Linked DNA regions of Sus scrofa. The main gene of each other region encodes a partner of the protein of the gene in region 2 in a complex. Links are inferred from orthologs where the notes say so. Each region holds a gene or a part of one and is shown on either strand. Other genes may lie near its edges.

Region 1 (4,065 bases), on a different chromosome or scaffold from region 2:
AAATCACAAGATTTTCTATGCCCATTAGAATGTATATAATCAAAACTCTAAAATGGTTAACAGTACATTTTGTCAGGTATTTTTTACAACGTAAAAAAAAGCTTATAAAAAAAATCAGACTAACAATATCAGTTATTGCAGAGGATCTGGAACAACTGTAACCTTCACACACTGCCAGTGGGAATACAAATGGTACAACTATTTTGGGAAAGCTTGGCAATTTTTTTAAAAAGTTAAGCATATACTTTGCATATGACCCAGCAATCCCACTCCTAGAGAAATGAAAACCTATTTCTGGGTAAGGATTGTTCACAAATGTTCACAGCAGCATTGTTCCTTATAGCCCAAATCTGAAAACAACCCAAATGTTTCCCAACCAGGGAATGGATAAATAAATTGTGGTGTACCTATACAATGGAAAACTATTCAGCAATAAAATGGGAGGAACTACTGATAAATGCAAAACATGGATGAATGTCAAAATCATCAAGAATTAAAATAAGCCAGACACAAAAGATTCTAGAAAAGTCAAAACCTTTGTAATTACACAAAAAGCGGATCAGTGATTGCCCTGGGCAGGAGGGGTTAAGGAACGACAGAAAAGGGGCATGAGGGGTTCTAGGGGTGTTGCAATGTTCTAAAACCTCACTGAAGTGAGGGGTACACAACTGAATACATATAGCAAAATTCATATAACTATACACTTAAAATGGCTCAATTTCACTGCATGTAAATTACAGCTCAATGAAGATGTTAAAAAAAAACTTGGGTTGATTAAATTTGCAAGTTATTAGGTGTGTGTTGTTACTAGTTTTCATCTTCTCAAATGTACACTTCCACACATTTTTTAAAGTAATAACTTCCATACTATTCTGCAGTTATTGTGCTTACACATAATTCTTAATTTCACTGGAAGAAGTATCATGTATTTATCTACACTGCTACTTGCCCTATCTCACAAGGTTGTTGTGAAACATCACATGAGATAACCGATGAGAAAGCACTTGAGCAACTCTGAAGTAGTATTACACAACCATACAGAATACTTACATTTTCAAAAAACAGTTTTGTTTTGTTTTCAAAACAATGACTTGAGATGCTTGGAAACTTGGGTACCCCAAAGTGAATCTTTGCTCAGAAATAGAATGCCTCTTCAAATATTTTAATATCCCTCCTGAACTTACTTTCTACTGACCCTTGGCTTACTAGATGGCTCAATGTAGTATGATCTACACTGCACTTTCATTTTTCAAAATAAAAATACCAAAGAAATCTTTAAAGAAAGTCATTAGATGAACAGGGCAAGACATTTATTTCCCAGTAGAAAGGACCGAAAGCTAGATAACTGTCTTTTCGAAGCACCGTTCCAAGATGTTCACCATTTACATTTTTCTTCCTCTAAAAGTCAAACTTCTTTCCATTTAATACCTCAATTTTACTTTACTGAATATGTATTAATGGGACCTGTATTACCGAGAGTGAATAATTTTAGGATTATCAAAACCTTTTAAACCAGTGTGGTGCAGTCATTTTAGACTGTGGGTGTTGCAAAATTTAACAGATGTTCATTTTTTCCTACTACTACTGTACAACTGGGCTCTTTGCTACCCTACCAAGATTGAGTGATATTTGACATTTAGCCTAGTTACATTCACAAGCTTTCACACGGCAACAAGTATGAAGGCTGTTTGGAAGACATAATCTCATCTTCAAAAGAAGTTTCGAAACTAAATTTTACCTGGAATTCAGGCTTATTATTAAGTCTTACAATTTTAAAGTTTTCCTATCAGCAACAGGTACTGCAACCAAAAATTAACAAAGCCTGTAATACCACAAAATATGTCGCTATCAGTCTCAATCTTTAAAGACTCATTTTTAGTAACAGTCTCAAGAGGATGGTCAATTCTATGGCTGTGCTTCATTTGATTTAGCGCAGCCTCATTCTGGTCAGTAATAACCACAACCTCTGAGGTTTCACGTATCTCCCTCCTTCGGTAACATTAGGGCCACTAGGTCCGGTATCTACACACCTTCAATTTAGGTTTACAAGAAATGCGAAAGAATGGCAGCTTGTCTACTGAAACAGCCTACTCTAAACTCGGAAGGTTGGCCAAAACGTGCCGCTCTCTCCACGACAGCAACCAAACTGGAATGGAGCACCCAGAGGACGACTGGGCACGGGGAGGAGGGGAGAACTACTCCGCCCGGAGGACGGCGGCTGAGGTCCAATCCAGCCCGCGCCCAACTCTACGCGCCTCCAGGAAGGCGTGTGGACCCTAAGCTCAGCCGCGATGCTCGGTCCTGTGGGGCAGACCCGCGAGCGGCTGACGAGCAAGGCGTAAACAAACCCACCCGGACGAAGAGGAAGGGGCAGCCATGGGGTTGGGGGGTTGGGGAGAAAGGAGCTCGCTCGAACACTCCAGCACAAAGCTGCTCGGCCCCTCCCGACCGCCGGCTCAGATCCCGGTCCTGGCGCGGCGCTACCGCGCGAGCGTGAACACCGAAAGCCCCAGCACCTCTGGAAGCCGAGGCCACCAGGCCATCGGCCTCGCGCCCCTCGCCCTGCAGTGCCTACCTGAACGCACAATCCGGGTCTCTTGCATCCCGACCAGACGCCCCCAGGCCGTTCCTCTTGCTGAAGAGCTTCTGGAACAGCGTAGGAGCCATGGTGGCCACGGCCAGGCCAGGGTCGCTCCTCAAGGCTCTCGCCAGGCCCCTGCTCCTAGAGCTGCCCCGCCACCCCCATAGGCGCCTCAGTCATATGACAGAAATTAGTCACTTCAAACGGCCACGGCGCGCGGGGCGGGGCGAGAGGCAAGGCCTGCGCCCATTGGCTGGCAGTGAGCCGCATCACGTGGCGGCGCGCAGAGCAGGGTGCAAGGCGGGGGCGCGGGGCGGGGCTGGCGTCCATAGGCTGGCGTCCGAATAGCCTCCCGTGGCAGCTCAAGAGGCGGGGCGTGCGTGGAGCGGGGCGTGCGCGGAGGGGAGGGGCGGGGAACGGACGGGTGGTTGGGGAAGTGAAGGAGGTGTGTGCGCGGGTCCCGGTTCTACTCAGTGAAGCTCTCGGTTGCTACCTGAGGCTACGGCAGGGTGTCGCCGGGACGACGCCAGGCATTTTGGAGCGCAGAGGTTCTCCGCACCCACGACAAAGAGAGATTTAGGGCACCACGAGTACTCGACCCTCCCCCGCCATCTCCTCCTTGGCCTTTGCGGCTTCACACCTCCATCTGCTCCTGGCAGAGTACCGCGGCCCCCGGAGCAGACAAGGCGCGAGAGCGTACCCTTGGCCCCCACCCCCGCACGGCCTGGACTTTAAACCCAGGGCCGTAGGCCCTACCGTGCTGGGCCGCGAGAGGTATGAGCTCAGAGCTCGATAGCGCCGGGCTGGCTTATGCAGTCCACTTGAGGACCCTGCTAAGACACTCGCCAAAGCCAGTACTCCCCGCAGAAACGGCCTGGGCAAGAAACTGCCCGCATCGGCCCTCCGTGTTTCCAATAGCTTCTCGAACGCTGATGTACCAGGAATTAGCCTCTTGGAAGAGCTGGCCATAGAGGCTCAGGATTTAGGCTCAATCTTAATATCTAGGTATGGAGAGAGAGTGCAACTGTGGAATTTGAACAAATGAGTTTAATAGGAGGAACCCTTTCAAAAGAAAAACATTGCTCATAGATGATCTTACAATCTAATAAGTAGGTTAATCCAAAATTTATCAGGGTTTGGGTCATATTGCTCTTAGATGTTTTCAACACCACTATTCATTCACCTGCTGCCCCTCCAGGATAAGGAATTTTGTACCGCGGGGTGGCAATTCTCTGACAGGGATGTCAGGAAACTACTGCTATGTGGTTTGGAAGGTTAGCTTAAAATAGTTGAGAATTTCATTTTAGGCATACAAATCAAATTGTCTCTTCAAGTGGCTACTAACTCGCACTGATTTGCAGCTATAGTTTATTCTATAAAATAGGTGATCTTATATAGAATGAAGAAAATAATAGGCAGAACATCTCAAAGAATTTCAGTGGTCATATAACATAACATGCTGTTTCAATGTTACAAGAATTTTA
Region 2 (4,038 bases):
AAGACAGGAGGGGGCAGTCCTCGGGGTGGGGAGGAACTCTGAGGCAGGCTGGACCTGCTCTCAATTATTGATGCTGAGGCTGCTGCTGTCACCTGAGAAGAGCAGGTCAAGTTACCAGCCCCAGGGACAAGCTGGAGCTGCCTCTTACCCTTCAGGAGCCTTCAAAGAACTTATAGAACTCCATGGTCTTGATTTGAAGGGTAACAGAGCTCCTGGGTTTGGGGATCTCTCCTTCAACCCCTTGGTTCAGGACAGAGTATGGTGTGAGCCAAGTTAATGGGAAGTTGTAATTTATTCATGAATTCCAAATTCTAAGCAAATGCTGAGGCTTAAGTCACCGAGAAGAGTCAGATCCTGCCCCCTGTCCCCGGGAACCCCACCTTTGGTAGAAGAGACTGACACAGGAACAGAGAACATAGTACAATGTGATCACTAGAACGCATGCTCTAACCACAGGGACTTCTGGCAGGCCCACACGGTGGGGGAGACAGCGTGCTAGGCCACGTGTGCAAAGTCCAGGAAGTCAACCAGGAAACAGTGTTTCCCCATGGTTGGTGAGACATTCACCCCATCCCTCCTCCACTGTCCCAGGCCTGGAGTGGGTGTCTGGCTCTGCAGAACCTTGCATGACAGACTTGGACTTGTCTTCAGAGTCCAAGGGAAGATGTGGCATGGTTCCAAGAAGAGCACTGATGATGTGCTTTGTGTGTTAGATTACTAGTACTGCTCTACAAAGGCAGCATTGAAGAGAAGTGCCCGACGGCCAGATCAGTGACACGGGCTGTATCTCCTCTCCCGGGATTGAGCTCCACTCTGCGTTGCTTGTGAAGGTATAAGTTTCCTTCTTCCAGTAAGTCTCGGACCCCCAGTCCACGTGGGAAGCCACACCCCACACCCCACGTTGGAAGTTACGCCGGGCAACCGGGGCCTATGGATGTGTAACCACATTGGGCGCTCTTTGAGCGTCGAGTCTGCATCCCCTCGCCCCTCCAATGGCATTCGGTATGAAATCGCCTAATGGCCCACAAAGGGAGCCTGGGGGCCCCCTCCCCGGACAACCCACGTCGCACAAGGAAGGGCCTCTCTCCCGGGCAGGGGAGGTCTCCAGCTGAGACCGCGAAGAGGCTGAAATCATGTGATTCACCCCTCCCGTTCCTGGCGTCACGTGTCTCACGGCCTGTCACGCGGGGACGCCTCCCCATTGGCTGGCAGTGATCACGCGCTGGGGGCGGGGCCGGATGCCGGGGTTCCGGCGGCAGCCGCGGCGAGCAGCAGCTCTGGAAAGGGGTTGGCGCGGGACTGTGGGTCTGTGCTGGATGCAGGCGCGGGTCATGTGACCGGAAGGGCTCCTGACGGACGCCGTCCCTGCTCGGCGCGGCCTGAGCGCCCGGCCCTACCCCCGCCATGGGGTGCTGCTACAGCAGCGAGAACGAGGACTCGGACCAGGTGCGGCCGCCGCGGGCGGGGCTCGGGAGCGAGGGCTGAGACCCCGGGGCACGGGGCCCAGAGAAAAGCCTGCGAAAGAGGGTCCGCCGGACTGTGGGGCTCCCCGAGTACGGAGGCCCGGAGGGGACAGCCTACAGAGGAGACGCCGGGCCGGGCTCCTACCCCCTTTAAAGCCCCAGTGCTGTCGGCACAGCCCCCGTGTTGGGGTGGCAGGCCGCCGCCTCTCCTGCTCGCCCCCGCCCGTTCCATTTGCCCCTACCTTGAGACCTTTACAACTTCAGGGATCCTCAGCCTAGGTCCCGGGGAAGCGCTCTCTTCCCAGGTTCCTGTGCCCGCTTCGTGTTTGTATTAGCGAGCTTTGTGAATCCGTTGTAGAGGTGGGTAAGCCGAGGCGCTAAGTCAGATTGAGCTGATGTGAGTCAGGAATCGTGTATAGACTCTGAATCCCTGGAGTTGAAGAAGGAAGGTCACTGCTAATCTGAGAGCAGAGAAGGCCTCTGGAAATTGGTGTCGTTTGAGTTGGTCAGTGAAGGGTTTAATAGACACGGTGAGGACTTGGGGGGGCGCGGCGTGTGGGAAGTTGGAAAGCCACAGATCACGTTTAGCTTCGGCTATGCTGAGGCTCGGGGAAGAGAGGTAGGACAGGGAACTCCGTTTGGCCTCCCTCAGTGCAGCCCCTGCCTGGAGCCTGAAGGCTCCTCTAGGTAGAGGGGGGCTTGTCCTGGGGAGTTGGGTGTAGATCTGGTTCCCTTGGCAGAAAGGATTAGGCTGGGAGGCACGTACAGTTTTAAATGCTCCCTCTTCCCCTTGGTGTATTCTCTCCTCTCACTTCTTGCCACACTTTAAACCCTGCCCTGCCTGACCTCCTTTGAGGAGGGGCAGACCTTTTCAAGGATGAAGTCTCACGTTGTTGGCCCCTTGCTTTTTTGTGGCCTCTAAGCCTGGAGTCTCCATTTCAACAGACCCAGAAACAGCAGGAAGGTTTCAGCAAGTGGAGTAGATGGTCACAGAAATGGATTACATCACTGGTACATGGGAAGTAGGTCCTTCTTCAGTGATTCACATGAACCTATTTGGGGTCAAGGACTTAAGCTTGGGAAACCACCATTTGTATGGGAGGCATGGGTGGCTCCTGGGCCTCATTAAGTCTCCGGACACCCCGTGGACGTACGCTCATGTTTCTGTGCCTGTGCTAGGTGTGCCTCAGGGCTGTGCCTCACAACTCACTGCAGGCAGCCTGTTAGGAATAGGAGACAGTGGCCCAGTCTACTGGGAAAACTGTGGCCTAATGGGAAATTGGCTCTTCAAGCATAGTGTGGACTCTTGCAGGGAATGAGTCAAAGGTTAGTGCTTTATGAGAAACCAGCTTCTAGTGGCAGCTGATGCTCTCCTGGTTCTCCCCCTCCCCTGATGGGCTTTCACTGCTGTTTCTAATTCCCAGAGATGGTGCTTGATCAGTCCTGGGCGATTTGAGGCCTCATGTGGCAAAGGTTTGCTTGCCTGGTCTGCAAGCCGTCACCATTCACTGTCCCCTCTTTCAGGTCTTGGGCAGGCCCCTTTCCTACTCTCATTTCTGCATCTTTGTTACAATAATAAAAAGAAATAACACGTTACAGTTTTCAAAGGCCTTTTACGATGCTCTCACTTGACTCTCTCCGAACCTCTGTCATCAGGTCATGTCTATTTGAAAGTGGAAAAAAAAAAGTTCAGACGGGCTGAGTGATTTAGCCACGGCTACACAGCTGAGAAGTGCCACAGCCAAGGTGTCATGATGCCAAGTTGCGTCTTTATCCATTGCGCCAAGCTGTGATTCTAGCTTTTCCCACAGACCAGGTGGCCAGTCACAGGCAGGCCACATGTGTGTCTGTGCTGCAGTAGAGAGTGAGACTCTGGACGTCCAGGTTGACAGTGACCCAGGGACAAACGGTGGCGTGAAAAACTACCCCCCCTGCTCCACTCACCCTCTTGTGGGTGGCGTGATGTTATTTGTTCACTCTGATGGCGGTAGTATGGCCTCTTCCAGGAGTCTAGGTTTCAGGAAAGCAACCTTGTTTTTCTTTTTTTGTTTTTTGCTTTTTAGGGCCGAACATGCGGCCTATGGAAGTTCCCAGGCTAGGGGTAGAATCAGAGCTTCAGCTGCCGGCCTACACCACAGCCACAGCCGCACGGGATCCTTAACCCTCTGAGTGAGACCAGGGTCCTGCGTCCTCATGGATTCTAGTCGGGTTCATTCCTGCTGAGCCACAGTGGGAATTCTCGCAACCTTGATTTTGAAGGACCCTGGATAGGGGAGAAACTGCCCTGTCCTGCAGGAGGATCTGTCTGAACTGGGGCTGGGGGAAGAATGGGCACGTAGCAAGCCAACTCTGGCTTCATTATGTAGTCAGCTTTCCTTGGTTTAATTTTTGGCAAACATTTGGTCTTTCTAGCCCTTTAATACCCTGTGTTTTAGGGAGGGCGGGGTGTCTAGAAGTTTGGAGCTGATGAGGCAGAAGCTGTTGGAAACTGTGGACACAGGCAGCTCAGGGTTGAGTAGGAAGAGGCTGTGAAGGGCTGGTCCCGTGCAGGGCGGGGCAGGCGGGGCCAGAGGAA
Region 3 (3,986 bases), on a different chromosome or scaffold from region 2:
GAAATCCTGTGAAATTGGATTGTTATGATCATTATACAACTACAGATGTGATAAATTCATTTGAGCAATAAAAAAATAAATTTATATATATTTTTATTAAACAGTAATTGATTTACAATGTCATGCCAATTTCTGCTGTACAGCAAAGTGACCGCACACACACACATTTCTTTTCTTATATTATCTTCCATCATGGTCTATCCTAAGAGATTGGATATAGTTCCCTGGGGTATACAGTAGGACCTCATGGTTTCTCCATTCTACATGTAATAGTTTGCATCTACTAACCCCAAACTCCCAGTCCATCCCACTCCCTCCCTCCTCCCCCTTGGCAACCACAAGTCTGTTCTTTATGTCTGTGAGTCTGTTTCTGTTTTGTAGGTAGGTTCATCTGTGGGACCTTGAAAGTTTCTTAAAGAAATTAATTTAGTTTTAGATTTCCATACTTGAATCTCAACCTTTCCATCTGTAAACCTGGCAAGCACCTCAAAAAAAAAAAAAAAAAAATCTCCCTTTTCTTCCAACTAACTGATTTGTGTATAAAACCTGAGTTACACAGACTAATTCTTTCAATTACCCTCCCTGCAAAAATTCAGAGCTTTAAAAAAATCTTGCAGAACAGAAGAGTAGTGAGCAGGGTGTCCTGGGTTTACTAGTTCTGACATTAATTAGCTGAAGCCTCCCATTGTTTACCTTTCTGGATTTCTTTCCTCATCTGCAATTTGTTACTATCTGTTGAGCATCATGTCTGGGTTCTGTGCTGAGTGTTTTACATATTTTATATGATCCTATATTATTGTGATGTAGAGGCTTTGGGGCCAGACTCAAATCCTAGCTCAATCACTTACTAGTTGTATGACCCTGGTCCAGTTACTCAACCTCTGTGCCTCAATTTCTTTATCTACCTCATAGGATTGTTACAAGGATTAAATGACTTGATATGTGGAAAGTGCTTATAATGGTGCCTGGCACATAGAGCTCAGTAAGTGCAATTCCATAATAATAATTATTATCAAACAACAACCCACTACAGAAACTGAAATTCGGAAAGGTTCTTTTTGGTCCAGGTTCACACTAGTAGTACAGGGGAGGGCTGGGGGTTGAACCTAGGTGTGTCTGAGCTTGCACCCCTCATTTTTACTGCCTACTTACTGTTCAGTGAAGTTGAACTAAAAAATAACACCATCCATCTGGCAGGGTTACTGGGGAAATTTAGCAGTCCCAAAATACATTCAATAAATGGTAACTGCTGTCATTATCTGAAGTCCTTTCTAGACTCTGTTTAGAATGATTCAAATACTATTCTAGAAGAAACAACTATGTAGTGCTAGAACTGCAAGGGACATCTCCACCTTTATAAGTATCAACTGAAAACATTCAGTTTTCTAATTTTGCTATTGGGAGATGATCTCTATTTACAGAAAAGTCCCCCAAAAGTGGCAGGGTGGCAGGAAATGCAAACTAGAGAAAGCACCCTAGGCTCCCAGTCAACATCAAGTGCTGTGCAATCCCTGGAAGGGCTGTTGTCAGATACTTACATCCCAGATTGAGTCCTTGTGAATCTGTGCACAGGACTCCAACAATGGATGGATTCTTCATTCTAATTCCAGGGACACAGGAAGAAAGAAGCAAATGATGTAGGAAAAATGGATTTAAATATAACACACACAGGCTTTCTATGTACCCAGCACTGCTGTTAAGTGCTTTAAATCAGTGTTAGTCTTTTTTCTTTATCCCTCATCCCTACTCCAAGAAAAATTACATTAAATCATAATAAGCTAACTTTAATGATGGTTAAACTAATTTCTCTCTGATGAGAGAAAAGACTGCCAGGTACTGCTAAGCTTTGGAGGGCTACAAACGTTGCAATAGCTAGGATTTTGTTGCCCTCGTTAAAAATATGTATTTTAGCCTACTCTCTCACTTGAAAGAACTGCTGAAAAGCTAACTAAAACTGGTTGCCCCATGGAGAGGAAGTGGGAAGCTGAGCGGCCCTGATGCAAGGGAGGTGTCTCCCTGTACGCCGTCTTAAACTTTTCTAATTTTGGATTTTACGTAGACACTATCTGTTCGAAAAATTTAAAGGATGTCTTTCATCTTCTTGAGCACCAAATAACTGGTTACACCAGAAGGAGGTACGCGTGTGTGTTTACGTTTACACTGAAGATACAGGTGGTAGGTACCTCCTTCCCCCAAATGAACTCGGTTCCTAAAACTCCTAAAGAACGGCCCCGCCCAAACAATTTCTACACGACAGGCGGGATTTGGGCTCGGACCCGGGACACTTGTTCCGGAGGGAGTGTGCGGAGCACCGGCGGGATTTAATTCCGGGTTACCCTCCACTCCCATCGGCGGCCCGGGGAGAGAACGTCCCCAAGAAGCCCAGCGGGCAGTCACAGCTCGCGCCTTCTGTTGCGCTCAAGGACAGGCCCGCCGCGAACCCAGGACAGGCCGACGTGGCCACATTACTTACGTGTCCTCCAAGTGCTGCTCCAAGGTTGCTTCCATCCCGCCGCCGTCCGCCGGGCGCACCACCCACGGTGGGTCTTCTCCTAGGAAACTGGTCTCCGGCTCCGCTTGGTCAGTCACATGATGCGAGCAGGACGCGGACCTGGACGGCGCCTCCAAAGGGACAAACTTCGTGGCGCAGTCTCGGCGTTTTCTCCGGGATGATGTCATTACGCGCCCTCTGCCGCCGCGAGCTGGGCGGGGTTCTGCTGCCTGGGGTGCGACCCGCGAGGGGACCGCGCGGGATGTACCCCCGGGAGGGAGGTCTGTAGTCTTCCCTTGGAGCCAGCTTCCTGGCCTGTCCCTTTGTCTCCGCCGTACAGACCTTTGGATTTCGATTCCACCGACTCCGAGAAGTCGGGCCAGGTCTGGTTGAAGTTTTACAATAATCCGGCCGGCCCCGCGGGGTCCCATCCAGGTGGTAGGGCAGGGACAGACAAGAGAGACACAGGATTCCGATGAAGGGTTCCCCAGGCTTGGAGGGACAAAGAGAGGAAGGACAAGGGACTAGAGGATGAGGCGGAACAAAATTAAAACCCCAAGCTGGGTAGGGGGGCAAGTGTTGCGATTTTTCGAAGACGTTGGTTCTTCCTCTTTGGAGAGGATTCGGGAACGTTTGAGAAAGAAGGTGTCATTGTAATAAAGACTGGGTAGGACCACTTAAAAAGTAACCTTTAAAAAAAGTTAATTACAAAAGCAGTTATAGGGAGTTCTGGTCGTGGCTCAGTGGCTAACGAATCCGACTAGGAACCATGAGGTTGTATGTTCGATCCCTGGCTTGCTTAGTGGGTTAAAGATCCGGCGTTGCGGTGAGCTGTGGTGTAGGTCGCAGACCCGGCTCGATCCCACGTTGCTGTGGTGGCTCTGGCGTAGGCGGGCTACTACAGCTCCGATTCGACCCCTAGCCTGGGAACCTCCATATGCCGCAGGAGCGGCCCTAGAAAAGACATAAAGACAAAAATTAAAAAAAAAAGCAGTTGTAAAAATAAGGAAAGAAAGCCCACCCATTGTCTTTGTCCGGAGATGACTGATAAGGCCTTGGAGAATATTCTTTCCGCCGGTTGGTTGTCTTTGCAAATGTATACTTTGTGTTATTGTTTTTTCTTTTTTAAAGCTAAGTTGACACACATATTGTACAAACAATTCTGTAGCTTATCTTTTTCACAAAATTTAGCAAAAATGTCTTTCTGACATAAAGTTCATTTACGGCATTTGTAATACTTAGAAAATATTACATATTATAGCTTAACCAACCCCTTATTAATGTACAGTTAGGTTGCTTATAGTTTTGTTGTTGTCGTTGTTATGTTTGGGTTTTGGCTGTGACAAATGCTGGATGAATATTCTTATGGCCAAATATTTGTGCAGTTTAAATTTTTTCTTATAGTAAGTTACAAGAATGGAATTATTGGGTCAAGGTTTTAAAGTCTTTTAATATACACTTACAAGTTACCCCCCAGAAAGGTGGTTCCAGTTTA
Region 4 (3,970 bases), on a different chromosome or scaffold from region 2:
TGGCCATAGCCTTGGACATGGAGTCCTGAGCCCATTCCAGCTTCAGCACAGCCACCTACTAACCAAGTTACCCTGGGAAACTCAATCTCCCAGAAGCTCAGTTTCTCCTCTTCTCAACTATCCCACTCTAGTTGATGAGGGTGCTAATAGACAGGAAGGGATTAACTGACCCTAGTTCAATTAAGAAGGCTGATCAGCTTTGAAAAGAAAAAAAAAAGAGAAATGAAGTACATCGCATACAGTAAGGAAAGTACTGTTTTAGGAAACTTTGATTTTAGTGGGATACTCTGACTTAAAATATATTTATTATGGCTGCACTGTGGTCAAAACACTTGAAAGCTATTGCCCTTAGATCACCAGTTCTAGGGCAGGCAACCTAGGAATCACTAGTTAGGAGTCATCAGTTGAACTGGCATCCTTGGTTAAGGGAGTAAGGAAGAGGCTGCTGACTGAGTTCCACTGGCAATTCTTTCTGGAAAGTTCACTCTTGGGGACTTTTCAGTTTGGCTCAGAAAACTTTCACTAAATATCCACTGTGTGCTTAGAACCAGATGCTGCATCTCCTGCCTCTCTGGCCTCATCTACTAACCTCTCCCATTCTCTCGCTACTCCAGCCACTTCAACCTTGTTGATTCTTGACCAGGCATCATTGTGCCTCTGCCTCAGGGCCTTTGTACTTACTGTTCTCTCTGTCAGAAATGTTCTTCGCCCAGACAGCCATATGGCTTGCCAGCTTCCTTTAGATCTATGATGACTTGTCCCCTTTGCAGTAATATTGTCCCTCTCTCACTTCCTTGCTTTTTCTCCACAGCATTTTCAATACCTAACATACTACTTTTTCTTTCTTTCTAGGGCCGCACCTGCAGCATACAGAAGTGCCTGGCCTAAGGATGGAATCAGAGTGGCAGCTGCTGGCCTACACCATAGACACAGCAGACATGGGAGCTGAGACGAATCTGAGACCTATGCTGCAGCTTGCAGCAATGCCGGATACTTAACCCACTGAGCCAGCCAGGGATCCACCTTCATCTCCATGGATACCAGTTTTTTGTTTTGTTTTGCTTCTTAGAGCCACGCCCGAAGCATAGGGAGGTTCCCAGCCTATGGATATAATCAGAGCTACAGCTGCCAGCCTATGCCACAGCCACAGCAATGCACCAGATCCAAGTTGAGTCTGCGACCTACACCACAGCTCATGGCAACGCTGGATCCTTAACCCACTGAGCAAGACCAGGGATTGAACCTGCAACCTCATGGTTCTTAGTAGGATTTTTTTCTGCTGCACCACAACGGGAACTCCTGGATACTAGTTCTTAATCCACTGAGCCATGACGGGAACTCCACATACTACTTTTTAAACTTATGTATGTATGTTACAAAACATATTTATGAACTGATTTTACAAACATACATATTTTACTTATTTTAAGGCATATATGAGACATTAGGGCTGCAGTTTTTGTTTGTCCTGTTTGCTATTTTTTTCCCAGGTCCTGAGAATACTGCAAGGACCTAAAAATTTGTTAACTGAACAGATATAAAGGTGAATGAGACAGGTTCTGTTCCCAAGAAATTCAGTCTAATGGCGCTTCCTCTTTCTGGACTTTATCTCCTTTTTCTGTAAACTGAAGGAACTGGACTAGGGTCTGGACACTTTGCCATGCTTCTGAGTCTGAGAATCTCAGATGACAACACTTTGTGTCTGCATATCACTCTACAGTTTACACCTACCCTTTCATTTGATCACAACAACCCTGTGTGCGTGATGTGGTGGTGGGGATTATTTTCACACTGGAGATGTGGTAAAAAAGCTTGTGACTTACCCAAGGTTCCACAAATGGCAAGTGGCTGGCTGAGACTAGAACCCAGCCAGACCTCGGGTCCAATACTCCTTCCTCATCACCACTTGATACATAGGGTCCTGCCTATTATAAATGCTGCTGCAGACCAACTCTTAGTAATCTTCCAGAAATCCTGTCCCTGGGCCCCAACCATCCAGGATGGGGTCCAGGGTGCCCCTTGGGGGTCCCCTTAGGGACAGAGGAAATGGCTCCCCTCTCCATACCATGCAGTCCATGAGGATGAATTTGAGATTGTCTTCGTTAAATGCTTGGTTCCCGTTCCGGTCGTAGGCCGCCCAGATGTTACTGGCGATGGCTGCAGTGACTCGGGCGTCCGTATCCCCGTAACCAGAGTAGGCCAACAGAGATCCCTCGTTATTCAGCAGCCTGGAAAAGCATCAGAACGGATATCAACGTGCTCAGGATGGGGAGTAAAATACCTGACTTTCCATCCCAACTCGCCCACCGGCGCTCCTAGAAAGCAAGGGTCTGGGTTGAGTGTGTCCTAGAACATGCCCCAAACACCCAGCACGTCAGTTTCTCTTTCAAGAGTGGCCCTCTCGCCGGTTCACCCAAAGGCTGCCCCCTCTGCCACCTCCTCCCTTCCCAGAGAGCCTTCCCCACCCCTCCCTCGGAGAGCCGCGCGCAGCCCCACTCCAGTGCTCGCCGCTCGGCCTCTCGGTCCGCACTCACAGGGTGCTCTGGACACCTCCAGTGTTAGCTTGGCTTAGCACCTGGGTCAAAGCCTTGGGACGCAGCATGCCTGTGGCTCCTAACCCTGGGCTTTCACAACCTGATCCCGGAGTTTCCTATAACTGGCCTCCGCCTGCCGCTTCCCGTAGTCCAGCTGCCCGGCTCCAGAACTCCTGGGAGTTGTAGTTTCCTGGCCTGACTGTGCGGTTCTGACTCAACCCCGCCTCACCGCGGGGGGCGCTGGGAATTGTAGTTCCTCGAAGCTTCGCGAGGCACCCTGGGAACTACAGTTCGCCTTTCCAGTGAGACCACGCGGTTATGGGGGAAAAGAGCGGGAGTAAAAGGATAGTGGCAGTACTGGAAGGACATTTAACCCTCTCGGGCAGAGGAGTCATATCTGCTTGACAATCCACGATTCAGTAATTAAAAGAAAACAAAATTCCTATACTTGTCAGGCATACCTTGGGTTACTTCTCAAAGCAATTTTCTACATTATGCATAATTCTGTGAGATGAGGAGATAGATGCTATTGAGGAAATAGGCTCAGAAAGGCCATGCAGGCAAAAATCCAGGTCTCTGGAACTGTACTGAATAGACTTCTTGGAGGCCGCTACCCTCAGGGGAATTAAGTCAATCCTACAGAAGAGGTTTTAGGTAGATATCCAGAAGTGGAAAATTCAGCCTCCAAGTCGGGAGAAGCCTCAGGCCTGGAAAGGATTTGGGCTTTCCAAGAAAGACCAGTTATCATAGGGAACGGAGATAAAGCGGCGACACAGAAAGTCCTTTGTCCCGGAGAAAGAGTTAGTCGCGGAGGGGGCGGGTAGCTTTGGGCCCGGGGGCGGGGGGTTGGCACCTCAGCGCGACTCGGACCGGCTACCACGGGCGGTGGTCTCTCCCGGAGAGTTTGCTTCCCGCCCCTGTCCGGAGCAGCCCCTTTGGGGGCCGCCGCCCAGCAAGGCCCTGCCCAGGCTGCAGACCCCGGGCTCGGCCCTGGGCGGACCCCGCTGCAGTGGCCCCCCCGGTCCGCCCGGGGCGCTGTGGCTGCGGCTGGTCCGGAGGGGGCGGTGAAGCCTTGGGGAGGGGAGGGGAGAGGGGAGTGTTGGAGGCGCCGGAGCCGAGCACCGCCGGGCGGGCGGGGAGGAGGAGGAGCCGGGGCGGGCTGGCGGGCGGCCGGGTGGCGGCGGCGGCGGCGGCATGGCGGAGCCGAGCGGGGCCGAGACGAGGCCCCCGATTCGGGTCACCGTCAAGACCCCTAAGGACAAGGAGGAAATTGTGATCTGCGATCGAGCCTCGGTCAAGGAGGTAGTACGGGTGGTGGGGATTGGGGGGGTGCGGAGGAGTGGTCTGTGAAGAGGGGGGTGTCTCTGAGACCGTCGGGCGTATGGGAGGGCCGGGGAGAGGAGGGCGGGGGCCCAGCAGGCACTCGGGGAAGCGGG
Region 5 (3,361 bases), on a different chromosome or scaffold from region 2:
GATGACGCGGACGCAGCCCACGGGCAGCATGGTCTGGGGGGACAGGGCGCCTCAGAACCGGCCCCGCCAACGCGGCCCCCAGGTCCCCCCAGCTCTCCCGCTGCTCTGACCTCAGGCGTCCGTCTCTCGCCTCACCCCCCAAAAGCCTCTAAGGCTCTGGAGAGGCCGGTTCACTCTGCGGCCTCGGGGGCCTCGGCAGGGGCTGGTGTGCACCCTCGCGCACACTCGCGCACACTGGCAGAGCCAGACCTGGGCCCGGCGCCCCCTCGGCCTCCGGGGAGGCAGCCACACCTCGCCCCAGGGGCTCTCGGCGAGCCCTGAGCAGCGGACGGCGGGGGCCCAGACCCGCCTCCCCGAGTGACGGCTTCTCAGAGGCCCTGGGCTGGGGGGCGCGGCCGCCGGGACGGTCAGCCACCCATCAGCACAGCGTGGACCACGGGCTGGAGTGAAAACCACGGACGACCGCCCTTGGGAGTGGTGGACACACGCAGACCCGAGACGCAGGCGCGACCCTGCGCCCGGTCTCTGCTGCGTCCTCACCCGGCTGTGTGAGACCCGCCAGGCCGACACTCCTGCCACGAAACACGTAAGAAGAAAGACCCGCTCACCCGGAGAACCTCGAAGGCTGAGTGGACGAGGTCCGCGTCTCTGCTCTTCCAGATGACCTGGTTCCCCATGAGCACGTGCCAGGCCAGCATGCGAAAGGACGGGGCCCCCAGCACCTGCAAGACACGGTCGCGGTCTCGCGCGCGAGCCTTCTTCCCGCCCCGGGGAAGGTGTCCGTGCGTCTGTCTAGAAACTTCCTCTGCAGCGAGAATGGAGACCGGTCAGGACAGGCAGCGTCTCCGGGAGGCCGGGTGAACCTGCCCGAGGCAGGAGGGCGCAGGCTGACCCCGAGGCTCCTGCGCACATTAACATCTGTTCCCCGACGCTGTTCTCAAAAACTTGAGGCAGTTAAGTGCTGGCTTTTTGTCCACTTCTCTCCTGCTCTACACGCTGAAGCTTTGCCAAATCACGTCAGCGCGAGCCGGCGGGATCAAAGCCTCCGGCTTTAACCCACGCGAGCGGCCGCATTGAGGGTGGATTTGACAGGCGGCTCTTTTTCATCCCGAGGCCCCGAAGACCACCTGCCCTGAGGTCAGTCTCCACTTCACTGTCCAGAAGAGAAACGACCCTTTTCTGACAGGTTCACGCTCGATGTCAAAGTCAACTCCATCTGACAAAAGGGACAGGCCGCCTCCGCAAGCGCGCCGTCCGCCCGCCCGCCCACCCGCCGGCCCCCGCCACGCGCTGCACCACAGGCTCCGCTCCTGGGCTTCACGGCCCAGGGCGCACCTGCGGCACTGGGGTGGGCACGGCAGGGGTCTCTCACTCCCTGTGAGAACGGACGCCGTTTTCAACGTGTGAGGCACCTACGCTGTGCGCAAACCCACGGTGCTGTTCAATTCCTTTAGAAGGGTCTAGAATGATGCATCGTGAGACGTCAACGGTAAGGCCTTTTCTGAAAGAAGCCGCTGTATCCTCACTGACATCCCAGAGGCCACTGCCACCCTCAGCCGCCCCCCAGGAAGTTCCTGCGTCTCCTGCACACGACAGGCCCGAAGGACGAGGCGCTGGATGCGGAGAAGCCGAGAGGAGGGGACCCGGCTCCCCTACCTGCCGCCTACCTGCCGCATGTGCCGCAGGGACTTGAAGACGGGGGGCTTCCGCGGCTGCCAGGCTCCACGGTCGGAGAGCACGGCCGGGTCCGGGGGGCGCTGGGCCAGCTCCCGGCCGCCCGCGGCCTCTGACAGTGCAGGGCCTTCCCCCTCCTCTGCGGCCTCGGGGCTGCCCCAGCTCTCCGACTCCTCTTCCAGGTCTGCAACACAGACGCCGACTCAGTCCCCGCCGCGCTGCCCTGGGCGCCGGCGTCCCCTGTGCCCTGCACACGGCCACCACGGCCCAAGGACACGCGTGGTTCACAGCGTCTTCTCTCCGCGTCACACGCAAAGGGCCTCACGAGTGCCCTCGAGCCAGGATGTCACGCAGCTGTGTCCCACCCAGCGTGCGCTCTGAGCCCCTCTGCTCACCTTCGCGGCCAAACACAGTCCCAGTCCCGAGAGTGAGCCCCGCACGCGGGCGTCCCCTCCCCCGACACGCACGCCCGGCTCCCCGCGTGAGTACATTTTGACGCAGGCCGCCCTCGCCGTCTTCACGGGCCGGGAACTTTCATCCCCACTTAGAGGCCATCCCGTGTGGCCACAAATCCGGAGGCGAGGCTGTGTCCTGACCAGGTCCTGCTCTGGCTGAACCAGCTGCCCCCCACACGACGCAAGTCCCCCGACTCCAGGAATAACCTGGGAACAGCTCCAGGGCGTGCTGCCAGTCACCTGCACAACTGCGCACCGGACGCACCCAGAGAGGCTGGGGACCGAGCCCTGGATGTGCACCGCCGGAAGCCGCCTCACCGCGGAGGGGAGCAGCGCCCCCGGGCCGGGCCAGACAGAGCGGCAGACCAGGAGCCCAGGGAGGGCGGCCCCAATGCCGAGAGGCTCGGGAGCCACCACGTGCAGTGACGTACGATGTTCTACTGTTAAAACGCAAAGAACTGGGGTCCCTGGTGGCCCGGTGGTTAAGGACACAGCTGCTGCGGCTTGGGTTCGATCCCCGGCCCGGGAACTTCTGTTTGCCACGCAGCGGCCAGAAAAGGGCAAAGGATGCATCACCGTCAGAAAGGCCAAGCGGCTGCTCACGTCACACAGGGACGCGAAAGCTCCAAGCCGTCCTGAGTCTCTCCCGAGCGACAGCCGACAGCCCTCGCCAGTGGCCGTCAAGGAAAACGAGACAGGAAACGGCGAGAAAGAGGCGAAGCGCGAAGAGCCAGCTTCTGCGATGGCTTCCCGCTGGGTGGCGGGGTGCAGACGGCCCCGCGGCCCCAGCCCCGGCAGGCGCGGCGCCCGCTCACCTGCGAGCTGCTCCATCTGGACCAAGGTGTCCTCGGTGGGCGCGCCTTCCAGGAGCTTCTCGGTCAGCCGGCTGCCACACGCCTTCAGGAGCCTGCGGAACAGAGCGTCCCTGACGCGCCTTCCCCGGGGCAGAACTGGACCAGGGGCAAGCCAGCCTCGCGCCCCGACTACGGCTAACGGGAAGCACGGCTGTGAGAGAAGGGGCTGAGCAAGCCCCGAGCGGACCCTACAGCACACGTGGCCCAGGCCTCCAACCAAAGGCAGGAAGTCGGGGTGGCGGGGTCTAGACGGAGAAGCCTGCCGCACGGTCCAGCGCCTGTGCGGGGCGCTGACCCCACCACACAGTCCGCCCAGTGGCAGGGCCCGCAGAGGGACCGCGGCCTGGGCTGTGTGGCCTTATCGGGCCGCTTCACTCA

Evidence for each region.
Region 1: LAMTOR1 (region 2) and FNIP1 share a complex: the UniProt entries of both Homo sapiens proteins name them as parts of the lysosomal folliculin complex. The link is inferred for Sus scrofa from reciprocal best matches to the Homo sapiens genes LAMTOR1 and FNIP1.
Region 3: LAMTOR1 (region 2) and LAMTOR5 share a complex: the UniProt entries of both Homo sapiens proteins name them as parts of the ragulator complex. The link is inferred for Sus scrofa from reciprocal best matches to the Homo sapiens genes LAMTOR1 and LAMTOR5.
Region 4: LAMTOR1 (region 2) and LAMTOR2 share a complex: the UniProt entries of both Homo sapiens proteins name them as parts of the ragulator complex. The link is inferred for Sus scrofa from reciprocal best matches to the Homo sapiens genes LAMTOR1 and LAMTOR2.
Region 5: LAMTOR1 (region 2) and FLCN share a complex: the UniProt entries of both Homo sapiens proteins name them as parts of the lysosomal folliculin complex. The link is inferred for Sus scrofa from reciprocal best matches to the Homo sapiens genes LAMTOR1 and FLCN.

Annotation. Positions count from the first base shown.
Region 1 is NC_010444.4:134,090,602-134,094,666, forward strand, and holds the start of FNIP1 (folliculin-interacting protein 1), read right to left. Parts: upstream 2,808-4,065; 5' UTR 2,668-2,807; coding exon 2,576-2,667; intron 1-2,575. UniProt on the Homo sapiens protein: Binding partner of the GTPase-activating protein FLCN: involved in the cellular response to amino acid availability by regulating the non-canonical mTORC1 signaling cascade controlling the MiT/TFE factors TFEB and TFE3.
Region 2 is NC_010451.4:6,677,260-6,681,297, reverse strand, and holds the start of LAMTOR1 (ragulator complex protein LAMTOR1), read left to right. Parts: upstream 1-1,230; 5' UTR 1,231-1,404; coding exon 1,405-1,446; intron 1,447-4,038. UniProt on the Homo sapiens protein: Key component of the Ragulator complex, a multiprotein complex involved in amino acid sensing and activation of mTORC1, a signaling complex promoting cell growth in response to growth factors, energy levels, and amino acids.
Region 3 is NC_010446.5:109,721,488-109,725,473, reverse strand, and holds the start of LAMTOR5 (ragulator complex protein LAMTOR5), read right to left. Parts: upstream 2,811-3,986; 5' UTR 2,680-2,810; coding exon 2,474-2,679; intron 1,601-2,473; coding exon 1,539-1,600; intron 1-1,538. UniProt on the Homo sapiens protein: As part of the Ragulator complex it is involved in amino acid sensing and activation of mTORC1, a signaling complex promoting cell growth in response to growth factors, energy levels, and amino acids.
Region 4 is NC_010446.5:93,972,752-93,976,721, forward strand, and holds the start of LAMTOR2 (ragulator complex protein LAMTOR2), read right to left. Parts: upstream 2,811-3,970; 5' UTR 2,603-2,810; coding exon 2,535-2,602; intron 2,229-2,534; coding exon 2,066-2,228; intron 1-2,065. Other genes in the region: UBQLN4 (ubiquilin-4), read left to right, coding at 3,729-3,836. UniProt on the Homo sapiens protein: As part of the Ragulator complex it is involved in amino acid sensing and activation of mTORC1, a signaling complex promoting cell growth in response to growth factors, energy levels, and amino acids.
Region 5 is NC_010454.4:61,039,190-61,042,550, reverse strand, and holds part of FLCN (folliculin), read right to left. Parts: intron 3,037-3,361; coding exon 2,945-3,036; exon of another isoform or gene 1,859-2,944; coding exon 1,668-1,858; exon of another isoform or gene 723-1,667; coding exon 609-722; intron 34-608; coding exon 1-33. UniProt on the Homo sapiens protein: Multi-functional protein, involved in both the cellular response to amino acid availability and in the regulation of glycolysis.